Linked DNA regions of Arabidopsis thaliana. The protein of the gene in region 1 interacts with the protein of each later gene in a pairwise test. Each region holds a gene or a part of one and is shown in the gene's direction. Other genes may lie near its edges.

Region 1 (7,363 bases):
ACCACTATATAATAGATTTTTTTAATAAAAAAAAATTATCTACTAGAGCAATTCCCATACGTACTTGTTTACGAAAAAGGTACTAACTGGCTCACTAAAATTAACGTTGATATTTCGATGAACCATTTTTTTTCGATTCAAAAACATATATTGCTATATTCGTGCATGTGTTTTTAAATATCTAGACTTAAACTACAATTGTTAGAACTTTGATCTAAGTTATTGGTTTGCAAACTACTACTGTAAGGATACTTTGAACTTTTTAGTGTTAGTTTGATATTGTTTCTATGTAACAAAATTTCTTCACCTATTATATATGTATATGTTTATTTTGTTGGAGTTTCATAAGTCTAAAGTAAAATATTCAGGGGAAAAAAAAAACTATTTGGTGAAAGTGTTTGTCCTTGGAAAGGAAAGATGTACAAGATACGAAAATACCTTTGCTTCGCTTTGCTTCCAATACACTGCCATTTGTCAACAACATGCTCAATCGAAAATTCGAACGTACGTAAATGTGTATGTGGGTGAAGATTATTACGGCCCGAACATAACTCATGTTCAGTATTGGGATTTTTATTTCTAGACTAATACTAAATATTTCGAATAATAATTGTGATCAATAATATATTTTGAATCATACGTAGCGATGGTTGCAAGGGTCTTATCAGAAGCAAAGTTGGTCTCTAGAGTCCCCACCTTCTCCTATGTGCAATTTAGCTACTCCTTCAGTCCTCTGATTGACACATGTTCCCACCTGTCTTTGTTTTTCCAAGTCTTAATGAAGCTTAGAAGTTAATTAATTAAATCATTTTAACCTTGCACCATCTCTCGGATCTTATTAATTATGCATATTATTATTCCTTCATCTAAACCATATAATATTTCCTCACATATACGAGTTTCTTTTACTTTATTAGATTCTGAATTATTATCAAAATTAAGAAAATTAAGTAAAATAAAAAATGTGAACATTTAATATTTTGTTGAATTTTGTAATCTGGATCATATGCTCAAATGTACATAACCCATTTTCTTTATAAAAAAAAGTCAAAAACTAATATTTCGAATAATCAATAAATAAATACAAATTCAAAACACAAGTTTGGTGGAAGCAGTTCTTGAAAAGACCTCCGAACTTTGCAAATTGCAAGCGAAGTTTGAATCAATGTATTGAGCTTACCTGTATTTTTCCAAAAAAAAGAGGCTTACCTGTCTTGCTATGTTACCTTATCTTCACCTTACTTTGCCACCAAGGTTTTAAACGTTGTACATTAGTATTGTCAATTGTTAATAGTAACGGTTGCTTTGTTACTAAGATACTTTCATCTTTGATGAATACTATTCATGAAGAAGTATATTATTGTTAACTAATCATAGTTATTCATGGATGCATGCGTACATCATTTTACCTTTCTCCAGCTGTACAATATGTACATGCAATAAAACATAGTAATATATTTCTTTCCACTATATATATATATTGAATTCAATGACTTAAAACCTTTCAAAAAAATATTTTTGCTTATATAATCAAGTGAGTTATTGGTAAAGTGTATCTTTATTTTGAAAAAAAAACTCATTATTTTGAAAATAAATTATGGTTCTCTTTACAAAGAAATGATCAAAGTTTGGTGGACATATATATGTCAATCATAAGAGAGTCACAAACTGAGAATGGAGTTTAAACTAAAGAGCTACAATATTATCCACAATTTAAAACATTTTATTAAAATCACGATAACTTCAAAAAGAGAAAATCAAAAATTAACTTTGTTAAAAAGGTGGGTATGAAAAATACAATTTTCTTATTTCCTAACAAAAACAAAAATAGAAACAAAGGAAATGTGATATAAGAAGATTAAAAGAGACGTTATGTCTCACCTATATTTGCTCTCTCCTCTTCCTTGTCCAATTCTACTGTCCCAATCCATCAGTTTTATATGGCAAACTCTCCCGCTGCTCCTGCACCCACCACCACAACCGGTGGTGACTCCCGGCGACGCCTCTCCGCGTCCATGTAAGTGTATAGTATAATACTCTCTAAGTAATGATTAAAAAAATCTGAACAAAATCGTCTAATTGTGGCTTTGTGTGTGTTTAAGCAGAGAAGCAATATGCAAGAGGAGATTCCGGAGAAATAGCAAAGGAGGTGGCAGATCGGATATGGTGAAACCGTTTAATATCATAAATTTTTCGACACAAGACAAAAACAGTAGTTGTTGTTGTTTCACCAAGTTTCAGATCGTGAAGCTTCTCTTGTTTATCCTTCTCTCTGCCACTCTCTTCACCATTATCTATTCTCCTGAAGCTTATCATCATTCTCTTTCCCACTCATCTTCTCGGTAAATCTATTTCTTTTTTCCATCACCAACATTTACATTCTTGACCTCAAAAATGTTCACATGCAAATTTTTACTTTTGCCTCTATCTCTTATAATACTATCTTAAAATTATGAAATTAGATGGATATGGAGAAGACAAGATCCACGTTACTTCTCGGATCTGGATATAAACTGGGACGATGTGACTAAAACCCTTGAGAACATCGAAGAAGGCCGTACGATCGGTGTCTTGAATTTTGATTCGAACGAGATCCAACGATGGAGAGAAGTATCCAAGAGCAAGGACAATGGGGATGAAGAAAAAGTTGTTGTATTGAATCTAGATTACGCAGACAAGAATGTGACTTGGGACGCACTATATCCAGAGTGGATCGATGAGGAGCAAGAAACAGAGGTCCCTGTTTGTCCTAATATCCCGAACATTAAGGTACCTACAAGAAGACTCGATCTGATCGTCGTGAAACTTCCTTGTCGGAAAGAAGGGAATTGGTCGAGAGACGTCGGGAGATTGCATCTACAGCTAGCGGCTGCAACTGTGGCGGCTTCGGCCAAAGGGTTTTTCAGGGGACATGTGTTTTTTGTATCTAGATGCTTTCCGATTCCGAATCTTTTCCGGTGTAAAGATCTTGTGTCTCGGAGAGGCGATGTTTGGTTGTACAAACCTAATCTTGATACCTTGAGAGACAAGCTTCAGCTGCCTGTAGGGTCTTGTGAGCTATCTCTTCCTCTTGGCATCCAAGGTAGAATAAAAATGACTCCCGAAATTACTTGTTTAGATTTGAAAACAAATTTGAAAAATCGTCGCTAAGTTAACTAGTGTCTGTTTTCTTCCATGAATTTTACAGATAGGCCAAGCTTAGGAAACCCTAAAAGAGAAGCTTACGCAACAATTCTTCACTCAGCTCACGTTTACGTCTGCGGTGCAATCGCCGCGGCTCAGAGCATAAGACAGTCTGGTTCGACGAGAGACCTTGTTATCCTTGTTGATGACAACATCAGCGGTTACCACCGGAGTGGACTAGAAGCCGCGGGTTGGCAAATCCGGACGATACAGAGGATTCGAAACCCTAAGGCAGAGAAAGATGCTTACAACGAATGGAACTACAGCAAGTTCCGGCTATGGCAGCTGACTGATTACGACAAAATCATTTTCATCGACGCGGATCTCTTAATCTTGAGAAACATCGATTTCTTGTTCTCGATGCCTGAGATCTCAGCTACAGGAAACAATGGAACTCTGTTTAATTCAGGAGTTATGGTGATCGAGCCTTGCAACTGTACGTTTCAGCTTCTGATGGAACATATAAACGAGATTGAGTCTTATAACGGTGGAGATCAAGGTTACTTAAACGAGGTATTCACATGGTGGCACCGGATTCCAAAACATATGAATTTCTTGAAGCATTTTTGGATTGGCGATGAAGATGACGCGAAACGCAAGAAAACAGAGCTTTTTGGAGCAGAGCCTCCTGTTCTTTATGTTCTTCATTACCTTGGGATGAAGCCGTGGTTATGTTACCGTGACTACGACTGTAACTTCAACTCCGACATATTCGTTGAGTTTGCTACCGATATCGCTCATCGAAAATGGTGGATGGTCCACGACGCCATGCCACAGGTGATTCACTCTCTCCTAAAAACCTTAATAGAACTCAAAAATCACATAATATTTTCAATCTCATATTGTGATCAATATTCAAAATATTATTAGGCGTTTAGTCATGCGTTGAGAGACTAACTGCATAGCATTATTTCTTTCTCAAAAATTTCCAAAACTTGAAAAAATAAATAAACTAAAAATTACTTACTACCCAAGTTTAGAATAACCATATGAAATTTGAATATACGAAAATCTTGGTGGGTTAGTAAATGCAGAATTAGCCCCCTACGCAGTAGGCATCAAGTTTTAATGTCTATGTTTTATACACCTTATAAAAAAATCATTTCAAATTTTCTTTCTTTATGATTAGTTTAAAAAAACATTGGTTGGCAGAAATATAAAAATAGTTAGACGTTTTCCCAAATTATTCTAAAATTGTGACGGTTAGTAATTACCATATATGATATTTTGCAGGAACTTCACCAATTCTGTTACTTGCGATCCAAGCAAAAGGCACAGCTGGAATATGATCGCCGGCAAGCAGAGGCCGCAAATTATGCCGACGGTCATTGGAAAATAAGAGTAAAGGACCCGAGATTCAAAATTTGCATCGACAAATTATGTAATTGGAAAAGTATGCTGCGGCATTGGGGCGAATCAAATTGGACTGACTACGAGTCTTTTGTTCCCACCCCACCAGCCATTACCGTAGACCGGAGATCATCACTTCCCGGCCATAACTTGTGACGCAATAATTATACATACTTATTAATGGATTTCATGAGTTTTTTGGTTTGAATTGTTGCTGCGAGATTAGGTGAATATCAGTTGTGTAACTATATCTTTTTCCTATAGTTTGTTCAAATTGAATAAAACATTTTTTTGCAGTTTAACCACAAAATAAAACATATGTCGTATTTATATGCCATTTTTGTATACAAACACAAACTCAAAAATGTTAGTAACATTCAAATAGTTTATACAGAAACGATAGATTATAGACTTACATATAGCCAAACAACACAAATTAATTGATGTAACTAAACATATGTAGTATAATTAAACTTTCGAAAAATCCAAATTTTTAGTCGAATCGCAGTGTAGTATGTATACATTACGTATAGTATATAAATCTATGTGTGTGTATATCAGTGTATGTATTTGTGTATGTATGTACATGTGAAAAGAATCTCTACTAAAGATTTCCATAATATTCAACCAAAAACCAAAGTTTTCCTTATTAGTAAAACTACACCTTCGTTAAACATATAAATTGATTCTATGAGAAAAAAGTATATTAAAAAAGGCAATGAAATCTTCACCGCTTTCATTATTGATTCGTCATTAATTACCGAGCGAGACCAAAAATAGAAATTCTCGAACTAAGGGTTTTATATATTCGCAAACAATGATCACCACCTCTTCATTCAATTCACAGAGAATATACACAACCATGGCTTCTTCTTCGTCCTCTTCTCTTTCGTTTTCAACATCGAAGAAGAACAAAACCTTTTTCAAGAAACCTAATTCTGCTTTTTCTTCTTCGAGGGCCACAAGTTTGATCAAAAGACAACAGACTGTCTTTAAGAAAGCTAAAGAGCTTTCAATTCTCTGTGACATCGATGTCTGCGTCATCTGTTACGGATCAAACGGAGAGCTTAAGACATGGCCTGAAGAGAGAGAGAAGGTCAAAGCCATAGCTCGAAGGTACGGTGAATTAAGCGAGACGAAGCGTCGCAAAGGAAGCGTTGATCTTCACGAGTTCCTCGAGAAGATGAACAAGGATGATCCCGAGAAGGAGGAGAAGAAGAAGATTAAAGTGAGACGTGTACCCAAAGTCAAGTATCCAGTTTGGGACCCTAGGTTTGACAATTACTCTGTGGAGCAACTCATGGGACTGGTTCAGTCCTTGGAACGAAACCTAACCAGGATCCAACATAGGACTTGCGCTGTTGTTGAAGCTCAGGGGCAGAGGAGGGTACAGTACACGAACATGGCTAATCAAGAACTGATGATGGCTAATACGATGAATCAACTTCAACAACACTCAAACCAGGTTTCCATGTATCTGTGGAACCATGGAAACGGTGCTTTCTCACAAATCCCAGTCTCAGCATTGGCTTCAAACCAAACGCAATCTCTAGCTCCGATTCCGCCTGAACTGATGATTTACCCGAATTCGGATGCGGGAAATTACTCGGGGTCTCTCGGGGTACAAGGAACTGGGATCAATGGGCTTCAGAACATGAACATGTTAACCTATAACAACATCAACAGCGTTAATGATTTCTCAAAACAGTTTGACCAGAATTCCAGAGCGGAAAGTTACTCTAGCTTACTTGGGGTACACGAAGACGGAAACAATGAGTTTGAGAACCCTAACATGTCCAGCCGCAACAACTTCAATGTTCAAGACTGTGCAGGGTTACTTGGGATGCAAGGAGCTGGAACTAACGGGTTGCAGAGCATGAACATGCATGACTACAGTAACAACAACAGCATTAACTCTAATGGTCTTTCGCATCAGTATGTTCAATTTCCAACGTACAACAGCCAACATCAGGACCGGGTTTTCAATTTGGATCAAAACGGAAACAATACTAGGTCTCTCTAAGATCTATCACAATCTCTCTTATAGCTTCATAATTTTTGGTTTTTAATATCTCCTAGTTATATAACTAAGAAGCATATATATTTATAACTTTTGGTTAGTGCAATTATCAGTTTGAGACAGTATATCGATCTCCAAGTTTTCGATTATGTCTACTTTTATTTATTAGTGTAATGTGACTAAAAGACTAATAATGTCTCCCATGCTAGTGACTCTTTTCTTATACTACTTCTTTTTTTTGTTATCCTGAGATTCTTTTGTTTGTTATATTTATTGCTGAGAATTAAGACTAGTAATGTCTCCCATGTTAGTGACACTTTTCCTATACTTCCTCTTTTGTTATTCTGAGATTTTTTTTGGTTTGTTATACTTATTGCCGAGAATTTGATTATACGATTAATGTTTGATGAATAAAAAAACCCTAGGCAAGCTTTTAAGTTTTAAGACGGGTAAAGTAAAACACAATCAGAAATTACTTAAGCTAAAAAAATACTTTAGCAGCTCTCTCCAATCATATGTCCTCGCATTAAAAAGGGAAAAAGGTCAAAGAAATGAAAAATAGAAAAAAGTACAAAAGATCCAACTGGACAATAAAGTGTTGTGTTCGGCTTATTTAAGAAATAATCAACGGGTGAGATTAAAAGGATTTTAGTCAACGGTTGGATTTAAACTGAAGAGTACTTACCTTCAAGTGGGACCTATTAACCACACAGAAGCAAAACCTAAGCGAAAGAATTGTATTTTTTTTTTTTTTTGTGTGCGAGTCTTTTAATTTACTTCTCCGAAAAAAAAACCATAGAACCTAGAACT
Region 2 (7,646 bases), on another chromosome or scaffold:
TTTCAAGCTGTTCATCAAGCAAAGATGCCTCTAGCTCTTTTTCTTCGAAATGGTTACCGATGAAGAATGATGAACACAGTTGCGATGGTTTGAACTTATCTGGAAGGTCTCAACATTTTGATGCTAAGGAGAAGAAGAAACAAGGCTATGGCAGTAGCCAACATTTTGATGCTAAGGAGAAACCAGGGTATGTGTACTGTCATTTGGATGTGGAAGCTATGAAGGAGAAATTTTCTAAGTTATTGCTCGGCGAAGATGTCACTGGGGGATGTAAGGGTGTCCAAGTAGCTTTGGCTTTGTCAAATGCTGTAACACATCTTGCTAGTATGTTTTACAATTTCCTAGCATTCTTAAGCTTTATGTTCTTTGATATGGTTAGAGGTTTCGTGTGAACTGTTAAGAGTAACTGACTTTAATGAATTTGCAGCGTCGATTTTTGGCGAGCTCTGGAAATTGGAACCTTTGTGTGAAGAGAAGAAACAGAAATGGAGAAGGGAAATGGATTGGCTACTTTCTCCAACTAACTACATGATTGAGTTAGTCCCTTCTAAGCAAAATGATGCCAATGGAAGATCACTTGAGGTACGTAGCTAAGGTGTTAAAATAAATAGATATACTCCAGAGGAAGAAACTGAGCTGAATCCTTGTTTTAACAGATAATGACTCCGAAAGCCCGCGCAGACATTCATATGAATCTCCCAGCTCTTCAGAAGTTGGACTCAATGCTAATTGTGAGCGGATTATCTCTTTTGTTAATCTTGTCTTTTCTTATTCTTCTATTTCCTGATCTGATTAAAGTTGCATTACAACTCCACAGGAGACACTGGATTCTATGGTGAACACAGAGTTTTGGTATTCTGAGATTGGTAGTAGAGCTGAAGGGAAGAACAAGAGTACAAGTGAGAGCAAACGATGGTGGCTTCCATCGCCACAAGTGCCTAAACCTGGACTCTCTAACTCAGGAAGGAAGAAATTGCTTGACAAAGGAAAAGTTGTTTATCAAGTCTTCAAAGCTACAAAAGCCATAAACGAAAACATTCTTCTTGAAATGCCAGTTCCCATTGTTATCAAGGAAGCAATACCTAAAGTAAGCTTGCACTCTTTATTATCCCTTGTGATAGTCATAATTATACAACTACCTCTAAAATCTTGTTTTGTAACAGTCTGGAAAGAACAGCCTCGGTGATGAACTGTACAAGATGTTGGCTGTGGAATCTGCAACAGTAGATGAAATCTTTATATCGCTCAATCTGGGAACCGAACATGCAGCACTCGAGACAGTTAACAAGTTAGAATCTGCTATGTTTGCTTGGAAAGAAAGGATTACAGAACAAGGCAGCAATGGTAAATCCCCTGTAAGAGCATCGTGGTCATTCGCTAAAGATCCGTTGTCTGAAATTGGTCGCAATGAGTCACTCTTGAACCGAGCAGAAGCGCTTAGAACTCAGATCAAATCCAAACACCCTAATCTCCCTCACTCGTTTCTTGATGCTACAAAGATCCAATATGACAAGGTATAAATAAACAAAACTAACTACATCTTTCTTAGTCCAATGGTCTGAAACATCTTTCTTCTCTGTGTTCAGGACATAGGTCATGCGGTTCTCGAAGCATATTCCCGAACACTTGCGAATCTAGCTTTCCGGATTCTTTCAAGAATGGGAGAAATCTTGAAAGAAGATTCTTTAAGCAACCCTAACTCTCCTGCACCACCGAGTTGCTTCCCTAGCTCCCGTGACCCTTATAGGACACCTGAGAGACCTCTGCTTTCGTCCCGTGTAAGGCATTCTTTAACCGATGACATGAACAAAGCCGATGGGACAGAGACTGGTTTAGATTTTTTGTTTGCAGATGCTAAGGCAAGTAATTCAGTGAATACAACTCCAAGTAGAAGCAGTAGACTGTGGTGTTTGAGTAAAGTGCCTTCTGATACTTCTCCTTGATTTAGAGGGTCTTCCTAGTTCGATGCGTGCCACCTGAAGCTTCTCCTTTACTTTGAAGGTTTTAAATTATGAAGCCTGAGATGTTGTAAATGTATTAACATATTGCAGTTAAAGTACGAATTCATACAATTTTGTTCATAACTTCACGGTGAAAAGCAAATTTTTAATCCGGGAAAAAAAATTGATACGATTGATTATGATTAAATTTATTAGTCTCTTCCAGAAAATACTTTACAAAATAAGGTATATTCAAAACAAAAATGTCCAAAACCATAATCTATTTATAATATACTAGACTAGAATCATTTTAATTACTACTTTCTTGAAATCTAATTTGAATCTCAATTAGGTTACTATCCCGACTTCCATCTTTGAATGAAGCATTAGCTGTCATCTCGACAAATGATCAACTAACAGGTATTTTCACCAAGCCACTATCTTTTGCACACTTCCATTAAGTCACTAGCAAGATTGGAGTATAAGAAGTCTTCATTTAGAAGGGATCTATCTTGGTTGGATATGTACATATTATGGGCTTAAGGATAATTTGAAATTAGCACAAAGCCTTAATGAGTTTCCGTTTGTACATACTACCTAATAAGTATAACAAAATGGCAAGCTTCACTTCGTCTATCATCCCGACACTAATGAGGTTTTTTGGGTTGGATTTAAGTTCAACTGTGCCATCCGATACTAACACAAAATATTGTTAAAGGCCAATTATGCTTACTAACTCAAAGAAAATCGAACAGACCATAATTGTTTTCAATATAGCAAGTATAGAGATCAAATGGATCTTGATTACCAAAAAACTGTTCTTGTAAAAAATTTCATATACATATAACTCAATAAGGACCTATAACTTTTCAAAAGATTATTTTACCATATTTAAAAAATCTTTAACTAAACTTTTGAACATGACCTATATATATAGTTCAAACATCCTAACTAGACATATAAATAAAAATGAAAATTATTGGAGGGTCTTAATAAGATACTCCCCCATTATAATCATAACTAAAAAAAAATTTAAGATAGAAAGAAGAGAAAATTTCTCAAATAAGAACTTTGGGTATACTAACTAGAACTTTACAATTGTCTCTTTTTAATTGTTCATTTTTATTTTTAAATTAAAATTATTAAAAATATTAAGACTTTAAAAGTTGGGATACTTTTTTGGGATATGTGAAAACCATTGGAAGTGCTCTAAACCTCTTGTCAAATTTCTAGTTTCAAATATTTACAGCTCATAATTAGCTGGCAGTACAATGAATATTTTAACCAAATTAAGAAAAATATATGCTCCAAAAGGTATAATATATGCATGAATTCATAATTTATCTCTAAAATAACTGATTTTCTTTTATATCCAATCATGATTTTACACGTGTACATTAATTGATACGTTTTAATGTCATAAATAGTCATATTAGTGTATAAGTCAAAAGATGGAAAAAATCCATATATATTATTATATTAATGTATAAAGACAGTTTTACCCTTATTTCCTTTTAATTAAAATCAACTTATTGACTAAACAAAATTAGATGGACCTTCTGGCCATGGCAGATTTTTTAAAAATATTTTATTAAAAATTTAATTCATATAACTAAATCTGTGATTTTAATATTTTATAAGGAAAAATTTCTTTATTACTTTATTATTATTTTTTATATTTTATTATTGTAAAGATAAATTTTTATACATATAAAAGAGCATTTTTTATATATTAAAACATGATAGAAATTTTAATGATATTTATTATTTTATTATATTGGTTTACAAACTTTTTTCTATGTAGGCTTCCTTTAATGTCTACATATTTCAAAATTTTCGCTCGTTCTAAATATTTCGTAAGACACGTTAATTCTTTCCCGAAATAATTTTACTATAGATAAACAAAGTTCCTAAGCTTTTATATATTCATGATTTTACATGGAAATTAAGCTGTAAAACTCTATTCGAAAAGAAAAGAAAAACACTTAAAATATTAGAAATTTTCACAGTTTATCAAAGCTTAATATTACTCTTAAAAGAAAAGTGAGTAATATACGAAGATAAACTATATTTAGTAAAGAGAAAAGAGAATCCAATCTTAGTCATAGCTTTAATTAGTGGCCTAATCAATTAATAAGACAGTAGCCAAAAGATTTAATGCTGTAACTACAAATTAATGAGTCCAGAAACGTGATAAGCCACACCCTGAGTAAAAAATCACCCTTTTCGTTGCTATATAAACAGTCTTGGGCCAAGAAACTAAACAAACACAAACACCAAAGAAAAGAAAAATAAAGATAATGAGGACGAAGACTAAGTTAGTACTCATACCTGATAGACACTTTCGGAGAGCCACATTCAGGAAGAGGAATGCAGGGATAAGGAAGAAACTCCACGAGCTGACAACTCTCTGTGACATCAAAGCATGTGCGGTAATCTACAGTCCGTTCGAGAATCCAACGGTGTGGCCGTCAACCGAAGGTGTTCAAGAGGTGATTTCGGAGTTCATGGAGAAGCCGGCGACAGAACGGTCCAAGACGATGATGAGTCATGAGACTTTCTTGCGGGACCAAATCACCAAAGAACAAAACAAACTAGAGAGTCTACGTCGTGAAAACCGAGAAACTCAGCTTAAGCATTTTATGTTTGATTGCGTTGGAGGCAAGATGAGTGAGCAACAGTATGGTGCAAGGGACCTTCAAGATTTAAGTCTTTTTACTGATCAATATCTTAATCAGCTTAATGCCAGGAAGAAGTTCCTTACAGAATATGGTGAGTCTTCTTCTTCTGTTCCTCCTCTGTTTGATGTTGCGGGTGCCAATCCTCCTGTTGTTGCAGATCAAGCTGCGGTAACTGTTCCTCCTTTGTTTGCTGTTGCGGGTGCCAATCTTCCTGTTGTTGCTGATCAAGCTGCGGTAACTGTTCCTCCTCTGTTTGCTGTTGCGGGTGCCAATCTTCCTGTTGTTGCAGATCAAGCTGCGGTTAATGTTCCTACTGGATTTCATAACATGAATGTGAACCAGAATCAGTATGAGCCGGTTCAGCCCTATGTCCCTACTGGTTTTAGTGATCATATTCAATATCAGAATATGAACTTCAATCAAAACCAACAAGAGCCGGTTCATTACCAGGCTCTTGCTGTTGCGGGTGCCGGTCTTCCTATGACTCAGAATCAGTATGAGCCCGTTCACTACCAGAGTCTTGCTGTCGCGGGTGGCGGTCTTCCTATGAGTCAGTTGCAGTATGAGCCGGTTCAGCCTTATATCCCTACTGTTTTTAGTGATAATGTTCAATATCAGCATATGAATTTGTATCAAAATCAACAAGAGCCGGTTCACTACCAAGCTCTTGGTGTTGCAGGTGCCGGTCTTCCTATGAATCAGAATCAGTATGAGCCGGTTCAGCCCTATGTCCCTACTGGTTTTAGTGATCATTTTCAGTTTGAGAATATGAATTTGAATCAAAATCAACAGGAGCCGGTTCAATACCAAGCTCCTGTTGATTTTAATCATCAGATTCAACAAGGAAACTATGATATGAATTTGAACCAGAATATGAGTTTGGATCCAAATCAGTATCCGTTTCAAAATGATCCATTCATGAATATGTTGACAGAATATCCTTATGAATAAGCGGGTTATGTTGGAGAGCATGCACACATCCCTTTCATGGACGGAAACTACTACAACTACCACCAGCCACCAACCGTTGGTCTTACTTCCACCGGTCACATGCCTTCCACCACCACCACCACCACCAACAACAACAACAACAACAATGTGTGATGTGTTTCAGTAGTGTGCATTTTGTGTTTTGTTTGTTTTAAAAGACCAGTATTTAATTATGCTTTTCCTTTTCAATTAGTTGTTGTAAGAGTTGAAGGTTTTACCTTTAAGTCAGTTCTATTTCAATGAAGTCATTTCTGTTTGGTCACAAATTATTTTTTACGAGCTTTTTGTTCTTAAAATGCATAACTAAATAGATCTGCCAAAATCAGATAGGATTTTGTTTCCAAAAAACATCAATACTTTTCAAGCCTTCATTATGGTTAAATACTTATATGATTAAATATTTTGAAGAGAGTTCAGGACGGAAGTTGTATATATAGGAGGAGAAGTACCATTGAGTATATATACGAGGAGAACCATTGTTGAAATTGGTCGCAGTGAATCACTCTTGAACCGAAAAGAAGCGCTTAGAAATCAGATCAAATCCAAACACTCTAATCTTCCTCACTCGTTTCTTAATGCCACAAAGATCCAATATGGCAATGTAAACATAAACAGAACTAATTACATCTTTCTTAGTTTATGTTCTGAAACATGTCATACTTTACAATACAATTATTTGTCGATATTAAATCCTTCTTCTTTGTTTTCAGGACATTGGTCATGCATGGGCTTCTTGAAGCATATTCCCGAACACTTGCGAATCTTGCTTTCTGGATTCTTTCAAGAATGGGAGAAATCTTGAAAGAGTTATAACTCCCTTGCACCACCGAGTAGCATCCTTAGCTCATGTGACCCTAAAGAGCACCCCAAAGGCCTTTGCTTTGGTCCCGTGTAAGGCCTCTCCGATGGGACAGAGACTGGTTTTCTATTTTTTGTTTGCAGTTGCTAAGGCAGGTAATTCAGTGAATACAACTCCAAGTAGAAGCAGTAGACTGTGGTGTTTAAGTAAAGTGCCTTCTGATACTTCTCCTTGATTTAGAGGGTCTTCCTAGTTCGATGCGTGCCACCTGAAGCTTCTCCTTTAAAAACCGTTTTAAAGACTGTATTAAGATTGAATATGGTTAAATTGATTTGGCTCTTCTGAAAATTTTAAATAAAAAGCTGAGATATTAAGAAAATAAGGTATATTTTAGGATATGCATATATTATGGGCCTAAGGTAATTTGAAATTAACACAAGCCTTAATGTATCTCTATCTGTACCTATCACCTACTAAGTATTCATTAAGATTTTTTTTTAGAAAAATGGCTTCCTAGCGTTCTATTTCAACTATAGGCTTCACTTCGTGTATCATCCCAACACTGACGAGGTTTTTTGGGTTGGATTCAAGTGTGTACTTCAACTAAGAACATATTTTTGGTGACCAGTTATGCTTACTACAACGTTCAGATAAGATCGACTATACCTTGAATTGTTTTAGTATGTGTAAATTAAATACATAGATTAAACGGATCGTGATTACCAAAAAAAGTTCTTATGTATATATATGGACCTTATTTAAGATATCTATAGTTAAACTTTTGAACATGACCTATAACTATAAGTAGCTTAAGTCGCCCCTAACTAAACATATAAATAAACATGAAAATTAGTGTTTTATGGCAGATGAAAGTTATTTATTATCTGAGCCAAAAATATACGGTGAGCTTGAAATAAAATTTAGCATTTAAAGAGAATGGAAATTAAACTACTACTGGATTGAATTATTTACCATTCTCTCATGTAATATCTTCTACTCTATAGTATTTTTATAACTATTTGAAAACATTTAATCAAAAATCAATAAATATGCTATTTATTTTAGAGAAATTTCTACATTTTGTAAATGTAATTGATAAGAAGAGAACCAGTCAAACAAAGTCTAATTAACGATGTGCATTCTTGTTTTTCTTATTTTTTGGTTATTGTTAGACCTCCATTTTTTTTGGATTCTCTCTCATTATAATCATACCACACAAAAAAAGTATGAGAGAAA
Region 3 (8,129 bases), about 12 Mb from region 1:
GTTCATTTTTGATATATTGGAAATTTGGAAAGAATTTAGTTCAATTATATAAATAAATTTATGTTAAAGAAAAATATATAAAAGATGAAAATAGGATGAGATATTAATGGATATGGAGAAATAAGAGAAGAAGCACCACTTGATCACTTAGAGCCCACGTTCCCACTCTTAATCACCCAAAAAAAATTAAAACAAAGACGTGCTCACATCTCATCTCACTCCCTCACCAGCTCACTTCACTCTCTCTTTCTCTTTTTTTTTCTTTTTTTTATAATCATCTCTCTCAATTCTCAATCATCTTCTAATCAAAGATCACCACCATATGGCTCTCGACACTCTCAATTCTCCCACCTCCACCACCACAACCACCGCTCCTCCTCCTTTCCTCCGTTGCCTCGACGAAACCGAGCCCGAAAACCTCGAATCATGGACCAAAAGAAAACGTACAAAACGTCACCGTATAGATCAACCAAACCCTCCTCCTTCTGAAGAAGAGTATCTCGCTCTTTGCCTCCTTATGCTCGCTCGTGGCTCCTCCGATCATCACTCTCCACCGTCGGATCATCACTCTCTTTCTCCACTGTCCGATCATCAGAAAGATTACAAGTGTTCCGTCTGTGGCAAATCTTTCCCGTCTTACCAAGCGTTAGGTGGACACAAAACAAGTCACCGGAAACCGGTTAGTGTCGATGTTAATAATAGTAACGGAACCGTTACTAATAACGGAAATATTAGTAACGGTTTAGTTGGTCAAAGTGGGAAGACTCATAACTGCTCTATATGTTTTAAGTCGTTTCCCTCTGGTCAAGCATTGGGTGGTCACAAACGTTGTCACTATGATGGTGGTAACGGTAACAGTAACGGTGACAATAGCCACAAGTTTGACCTAAATTTACCGGCTGATCAAGTTAGTGATGAGACAATTGGAAAAAGTCAACTCTCCGGTGAAGAAACAAAGTCGGTGTTGTGATTATTATTATTTTTTACCGATCGGGATTAGCTAGTGGTTGATCATTAGCTGAGTCTGTAATGAAAATGATTGGAGTGGACTTTGGATTATTTTAATTTCTGTTTACGTATATGGAAAGAAAATAATCTTCAAATGTTTATTCGTTGTTGGTTTTTGTTTATAAAAAGTAAAAAAAAAAAAGGATATATTTGAAATTATTATTAATTTTGTTAATAATAAAAAGAATTGGATTAATGAAAATTGAAAACTACTATTTCATGGAAACTTCCTACTGTTGTTTTTCTTCATTACTTGATTAATTTTTCATTTACTATTTCCGCAAGCAAAGGAACCACTTCTTTGAATCTGTCACTCCCAGCTTGAAGTGATCTGTTCCTAAGAATTTAACTATTTGATTAAACATTTCAGATTTCTATTTAAAAACATAATTTGATAGGAGAAATAGTATTAATTTTGGGTTATGTTAGTATTAATTATTGAAGTAGTGATAGATCGGTTAGTAGTACCTAACGAAGCTAATCCTTAAGTGGCTTGTCGACTTTGATTGGTTGGCACTCACACTTCCCTCCACGCTTAAATTATTTTTATAATTCTGTATTATTTCGTTTTCACGAGTTTTACGAGTCTTTTAATAATTAATTAATTGTATAATTTGTTACGATAAATATCTTACACGTCTTAATCGATCCCAGTTCTTATGTATCTTCTAAGAAAAAGAGTAGTTATACATTCCGAGAAAAATATGGATATTGGGTATTTTCTGAATTAAATGCCGGGAAAATATTGTTTTTTTGGTGGCACAAAAAATTGACTTATAATTATTCTTTATAACTATATTGTAGTATCTGATGGTTAAGAATTTTTGGAATTATTTTAAGATTTGTTTTTTTCTTGTCAACCGATTTTTATTTAGAGTTCAGAAAACTCATCCCTTAAAAATGTTGTTTATATATGTGATATTATGCGGTTCGGTATAAACTTTTCGTCAAATTAAGATTTGGCTTTGAAAAGACAAAAGCAAAAATTTTAAATCTAAAATGGTGTGGGAAAAAATAATAATAATACCTTGCTAAATAAGACGGAAAATATGTCGTGCAGCTTACTGCTTATACTTACATCTTACATTACCTATTAGGCTATAACCTAATGCTTGTGTTATAAGTCTGTAAGATTTGGTCATTCATTCTCTTTGTACTATTGTCTTCTTATATTGCTAGAAACTTAGAAACTAAAGAATTTCACCAATTTTTGTGGGCATAGTATATAGCTTATTAGCTTGTAATAAGGCCTAATAAGGCCCTCGAGCGTTACAATAACATCCAAATTAGTTTTGGCATGGTACCGTTAAAGTGGTGTTAAACTATTAATTTACCAAAGACTCATTGTTTGGACTTTGGACCATACGAAAAATGCAGTAGAGCCCATAGTGACATAGTGTACCGGCTCTTATAGCTGAGAAATTATATCCCAATTAACAGCCCAGTATTTAATCATTTAGAACTCAACGTGAAAGAGGACATGTTAAAGCCCAACACAAGTCCATAGACTCATGAAATACAAGTCCACAAACCCACCTTATCTAACCATGTAATTAGGTTTTATAGCATAATATAATGAACATCAATGAATGTAAGTAGGAATGCAATTTGTGCAACCTCTATTTGACAATTTCTTTCATTTCTTCTCAATAGTTTACAAGTCTCATACATTGTTTTTGTTCTGTTTTCAAAGAAATAGTTTTGGTTTTTCTATTGTATGCAATATGACTTCCCACTGTACATCATAAACATTGAAGTATATATAATATTTTTTCTATTGTGTTCTGCCGTACGTCTAACTTATAATCTATTTTATAACATTGATTTTACTAAATATATAAAGGTAAAATCTATCTTGTTGCATTCACTTCAGAAAATAAATTTTTGGAAGAAGGGCCACAAAACAATACTAATTTTCAAAAATTGAGATTGAAATTATGTTATAAGATTGATATTTAAAATAGGAATACCGTTGTAAAAATAAGTAGTTGATTTATCGAACATCTAAGCATCTGTTTAACACCAATTTTATGTCGTTGTTGATCAAAACTGTCGCGTTCAAGTGTCTTGTGTCGACTAATTAAGCAAATGAACTTTAGGTACCAGAAGTTCAACGAAACAATAATGCATTTTTAAATTACTAATGGACTGAAGTAATTGGGAATAAAGAAATATAAAGAGACGGCGGCATTCAGTGGAAAATTTGCCTAATTGGAGTGTAGGTAAGCACACCACGTAAGCCATGAACGGCGCCGTTTCACCGCATTGCTATAGGAAAGTAGAAGAAGACACTTTGACTTATTAATATCATTTTGTTGTAGATCTTCTGTTCATCATATATTTGATTTTGTTACTAGCTAATGTAAAGGAGAAAAGAAATGTTTGATTTGGTCACACACGTGAGACAGCATCGTAGGCAAAAAAACGCCTCTATCTTTCTTCTAAAACATTTTTCATATTAAATTATCAAAACCCTTAAGGTTGATTTAAGGGTCAGGTAGTGGATTTGTTTCGTTGAAGGGTCAGCTTAGCCTTAACCCTAAACAAAACAATCTCATTGGTTTCATAAATAAATTGTTTACAAAGTATACGTACTGCATGAACGAATGAACCATATCTATATTTATAAAACTCATAGAGACCAATAGTTTAAGAGAGGCACTTATATAGCTCAACAAATAATAGCGAACTAGAGAGAATATGATCTAATTAGTTATAAATCTCAATTTTGAAATTGAAGTGCGTTATTTCATTTGAGAATCTATGTGTTTTTTTTGTTGTTGTTAGATGAGAAGCTAGGTTTTTTTCTTTTCTTTACACCGATAATCGATAATATATGTTAATCACACTGATTTTTGTTTGAGACATGAAGATTCGAAAAATTTGTCAACGAATAAACACTGGATAGATAGAATTGAGATCTGCCATCAAATAATCGAGATCGTTCATGCATGACGCAAACATTTATATAGAAATGAAGCAAGTAAAGAATATGAAAAAGAATAGAAATGAGAAATTTATAAAGAAAGAAAAAAAGAACCAATGGTTGAGGAGGCAACTATTCGCGGGGACACGGAGCCGTTCGCACCCATCACCTTGGAATCTCTCTTTCTTCCTCTCTCCTCATCACCAACTAGTCAACAACCACACACCATTTTTAACTTTCATAATTAAACCTAACATAACATTTTTTTTTGTATAAACTATAGCATAAATTAAATTCAGTTAATGATAAAATAAATATATTTTGTAGCAATCATTCTATTTTGTAATTTGGTAGGGCTCTTTAAACTTTGATTATTATCCAATTTTTATTAAAATATAATAAAATCTCAAAGCCATGACCCATTCCTTCACTCAAGTATCAATGTCTATTGTCTATAAATATTACATAACTCTTCTTCTTCAACCAAACATTGAAACACTTTGTCCCACTCTCTCTCTTTCTCTTTCTTGTACCAAAAGCTTTTTGAATCTCCAAGATTATAGCAAAACCAAAGATAAAATACTAACTTAAAAGATTTCTGAAAATAATGAGTTGCAATGGTTGTCGAGTTCTACGAAAAGGTTGCAGTGAGAATTGCATCCTCCGTCCATGTATTCAATGGATCGAATCACCTGAAGCTCAAGGCCACGCCACCGTCTTCGTCGCTAAGTTCTTCGGCCGTGCCGGTTTAATGTCTTTCATCTCCGCCGTACCGGAATCTCAATGCCCTGGTACTTAAAAACAAAAACCTCTCGGTCCTTTAGATCTTCGTCTAAACGTTGTCGTTTTGGTTTCTGATGGTAAGGGTATTTGGTCTTTTTACAGCTTTGTTTCAGTCTTTGCTATACGAAGCTTGTGGGAGAACTGTGAATCCGGTGAACGGAGCCGTCGGATTGTTGTGGACGGGGAATTGGAATGTTTGTCAAGCGGCGGTTGAGACGGTGCTTCGTGGTGGTTCTTTAAAACCAATACCGGAGCTTCTTAACGGCGGTGGATTCGCCGGGTTTCCGTCTCCTACTTCCGACGAAGCTTCGGAGATCTGTACGGAAATGTTGAATCTACGAAAAGCTGATGATTCCGGTGATCGGAACATTTATCATCACTGCCGATTCTCAAGCTCTAGATCTAGATCAAGATCAACAGCTTCTCCGCCGAAACGGAAACGATTATCGTCGGAACAACAACCTTCGTCGGAGCTTGATCTCTCTCTTATTCCTATTTATCCGATTAAAACCTTGCCGTTTAAGGAAGATACACCGTCGATGTACTCGGAGGAGTCTGTTACCACGGTTTCGTTTCAAAACAACAACGCCGGTGATCGGTACGTACGCTGCGGCGGAGGAGGAGGAGGAGCAACGACAAAGTTGCTCAATCTCTTCGCTTGAACGGCGTCGTTTTTGTTATGAGGGTTAAAAATGTAATTTCGAGTAACTTTTTGTTGTGGCCTTTTTTGGATTAATAGCCCTTAATATTTTGTGAAATGTAGCAAATTACGTGATTTATTTCTCTCTTTAATTATGAGAAATTATCCAAAGTAATAGAGAATAATGATATAATTCGTCGGTGGTGTACTATTTTATTTTTAGTTCATAATCAATTAATCATCATTCTCATCGAATTCAAATTAAAAGATAACAATGATAATGTGTACGATAAATCAATACTTATTAGCTACTAAATTATTTGTTTTTATCGACATATTCAACATTAATAATAATAATCACGAATCGGAGTCAAAATATACATCTCTCCAAATCCAAAGCACCGGCAAAGTCTTCGCACCCAACATATTTCGATTCTTTAAGGACCAACATGTTGTAATGTACACACAATCATACACAACTTGCTATTTTGATAATCATCTTGATTACTACTCGCAAAACAAAATATTAGCATTTATTATCTCCAGGTTTATTGTCTTTCGATACTACATTTGTTATTCAATGGTTTAATGATACCTAGTAATAGTATAACACAATAGTACGTATTCCTCGAGATGTGATGATCTTTTTGTGATATCTCAAATTATCCTATACTAGTACTGCAACGGTCTTCTTCGCAACACTCTCAATGGCATATGTACATCTTCATGTGTTTCTTTCTATGTTTAAGATTAGTCTACCACACATTCTCCGGATGAATACAAACTCTAAAAAAGATTAAACAAGGTGCATTACATAATATAAGTAATTGTATGTATAGAGTAGATATGCATTATATAATGCATGTAGTTGGGTTGAACCCAAAAAGTTGGGGTTATAAAGGGAAAGCTTTTGGGGGAGGCGGCTTTTGGACGACGCAAAGAGCCGTTTATGTCACACTTCATACCTTCGTGGAATCTTCAAAAGCACTCTTTTTTTATTGTTCTTCTATTCTTCTTCACATTTTGTTTAATAAAAACAACAAGGTATTGTTGCTCTATGGATGATGGCGTAGAAACAATGAAATTGACCAATAACATGTTTGCTTTTGAAACGTTGAAATGAGAATGGATTGTTGTTGGAACAGAAGAAGTGATTTGAAGATCTTATGAAGTGGGACATATTTTAAATATACTTTCGACCAGCCAGTCACTAGTGGGCAAACAATTGCTTGTGGTCCACGTCACTCTCCTTTCCTTTTCCGACCACCGGACTCTTTATGTTATTTTTGAAAAATATAAGTTTTTAGTTCTGACCATTTCAAGTTTTATCAACAACCGGGTATCATCATTCGTTCAATCTCGTCTGTTTTTTACATCTAATTAGTGTCTAATCATGAGTTACAAAATTTATGGAGCTAAATTTCTTTTTCTACTTTTAAACTATGGAGCTAACTATACTAGACGAATTCGCTTTTTAAAAATTTGGGGAATACAATATAACAATATGGATGGATAAACATGAATCCATCAAGTATAATGAGAATAAAATAACATTAGCAAGATTCGTGTTTAATGCCAAAAGCCACGAGCAGCCGCAGTTTCTTATGGGCCCAATACTTTCATCACCTTCTCCACTTAAGTCGGTGTGTGTGAGTCCACTTGATGTTTTCTTAAACTTTTCTTCCGAAAACGAACAAAACTTTAGTTAATTATTTGTCTTTGGTATGAATGTCAAGAAAATGGTAGTTAAATTAGTAAGGAATAACTAAACTTAAATAATCAAGTTGAAAATTAAAACCCTAGGTCTCACATGATTATGAAACATTTACTACTTTGTGTATTCCAAAAAACATGGTGATCAATAAAAAAATTTGAAGGTGAAAACAAAACGACGTGGATTATCAAATGATCACAAGAAAACTAGTCAATCTAAATAGAATATCAAATAACGACAAAAAAATAGAATATCAAATAATTAATTAAGACCATCAAAATCAAGTTGGTATTCATAATGATTCTGGATAAAATACAGAATTAAGTAAGTGATTTTTTTTGGATATATATATATATATATATATGATTTTTTTTTGGTGTGTTAATTCATAATGATTCTGGATAAAATACAGAATTAAGTAAGTGATTTGTTTTTGGATATATATATATATATATATGATTTTTTTTTTGGTGTGTTATATATATATGAATGATAATAGTAAAGTAATATTTTCTCATTATTTCAATTTTTATTTTTGCAAAAGTTATATATACATGATTATCTGACTCTCAAATAAAACAAAAACTAGGGTTAGCTGAATATTAGCTACCAAATAACATTTTATCAACCGGTAAACACACATTAGACCATAACATCTTGATATGTAACCGTACATAGTTCTTGATGAATTTTTTCGTACATTACTATACAAAGTGATATATTAATTTTCTGAAACTCAAAAAACGTTATGCTTAAAGCTGCATATATTGTAACCAAAGACTTTTTAATAAATTTTACATTACAATGATTCAAAAAAAGAAAAAAAAGTGATATATTAATTTCTACAACACATATTTGGAAATTTTTGTAACTGAATGTCATCATGTCCCGATTATCCCCAGAGATTTTGTATATGAACCTCTTTAAAAAACAATCTCAATTGTTTGTTTCTTGCTTTTAGTTTTCTCAAGTCTTTTGCTATTCAAGAGTTTATCGAATAAGTTTCTTGTGGATCAATATCACTATCTAATTTCTAACGATTGATTTTGTTATTAATA

The links. The genes of interacting proteins can lie anywhere in the genome.
Region 2: the proteins of AGL103 (region 1) and AGL92 interact in a two-hybrid assay, tested with the Arabidopsis thaliana proteins (one large-scale study listed by BioGRID).
Region 3: the proteins of AGL103 (region 1) and LBD38 interact in a two-hybrid assay, tested with the Arabidopsis thaliana proteins (one large-scale study listed by BioGRID).

What each region holds. Positions count from the first base shown.
Region 1 is NC_003074.8:6,416,537-6,423,899, reverse strand, and holds AGL103 (AGAMOUS-like 103), read left to right. Parts: upstream 1-5,395; coding exon 5,396-6,556; downstream 6,557-7,363. Other genes in the region: PGSIP1 (plant glycogenin-like starch initiation protein 1), read left to right, coding at 1,941-2,017, 2,106-2,342, 2,463-3,082, 3,188-3,960, 4,417-4,689. UniProt on the Arabidopsis thaliana protein: Probable transcription factor that may function in the maintenance of the proper function of the central cell in pollen tube attraction.
Region 2 is NC_003070.9:11,320,771-11,328,416, reverse strand, and holds AGL92 (AGAMOUS-like 92), read left to right. Parts: upstream 1-4,240; coding exon 4,241-5,498; intron 5,499-5,588; coding exon 5,589-5,725; downstream 5,726-7,646. Other genes in the region: ROPGEF14 (RHO guanyl-nucleotide exchange factor 14), read left to right, coding at 1-324, 428-582, 657-731, 818-1,087, 1,164-1,514, 1,587-1,943. UniProt on the Arabidopsis thaliana protein: Putative transcription factor.
Region 3 is NC_003074.8:18,509,924-18,518,052, forward strand, and holds LBD38 (LOB domain-containing protein 38), read left to right. Parts: upstream 1-4,342; 5' UTR 4,343-4,541; coding exon 4,542-4,725; intron 4,726-4,819; coding exon 4,820-5,379; 3' UTR 5,380-6,208; downstream 6,209-8,129. Other genes in the region: AT3G49930 (C2H2 and C2HC zinc fingers superfamily protein), read left to right, coding at 323-970.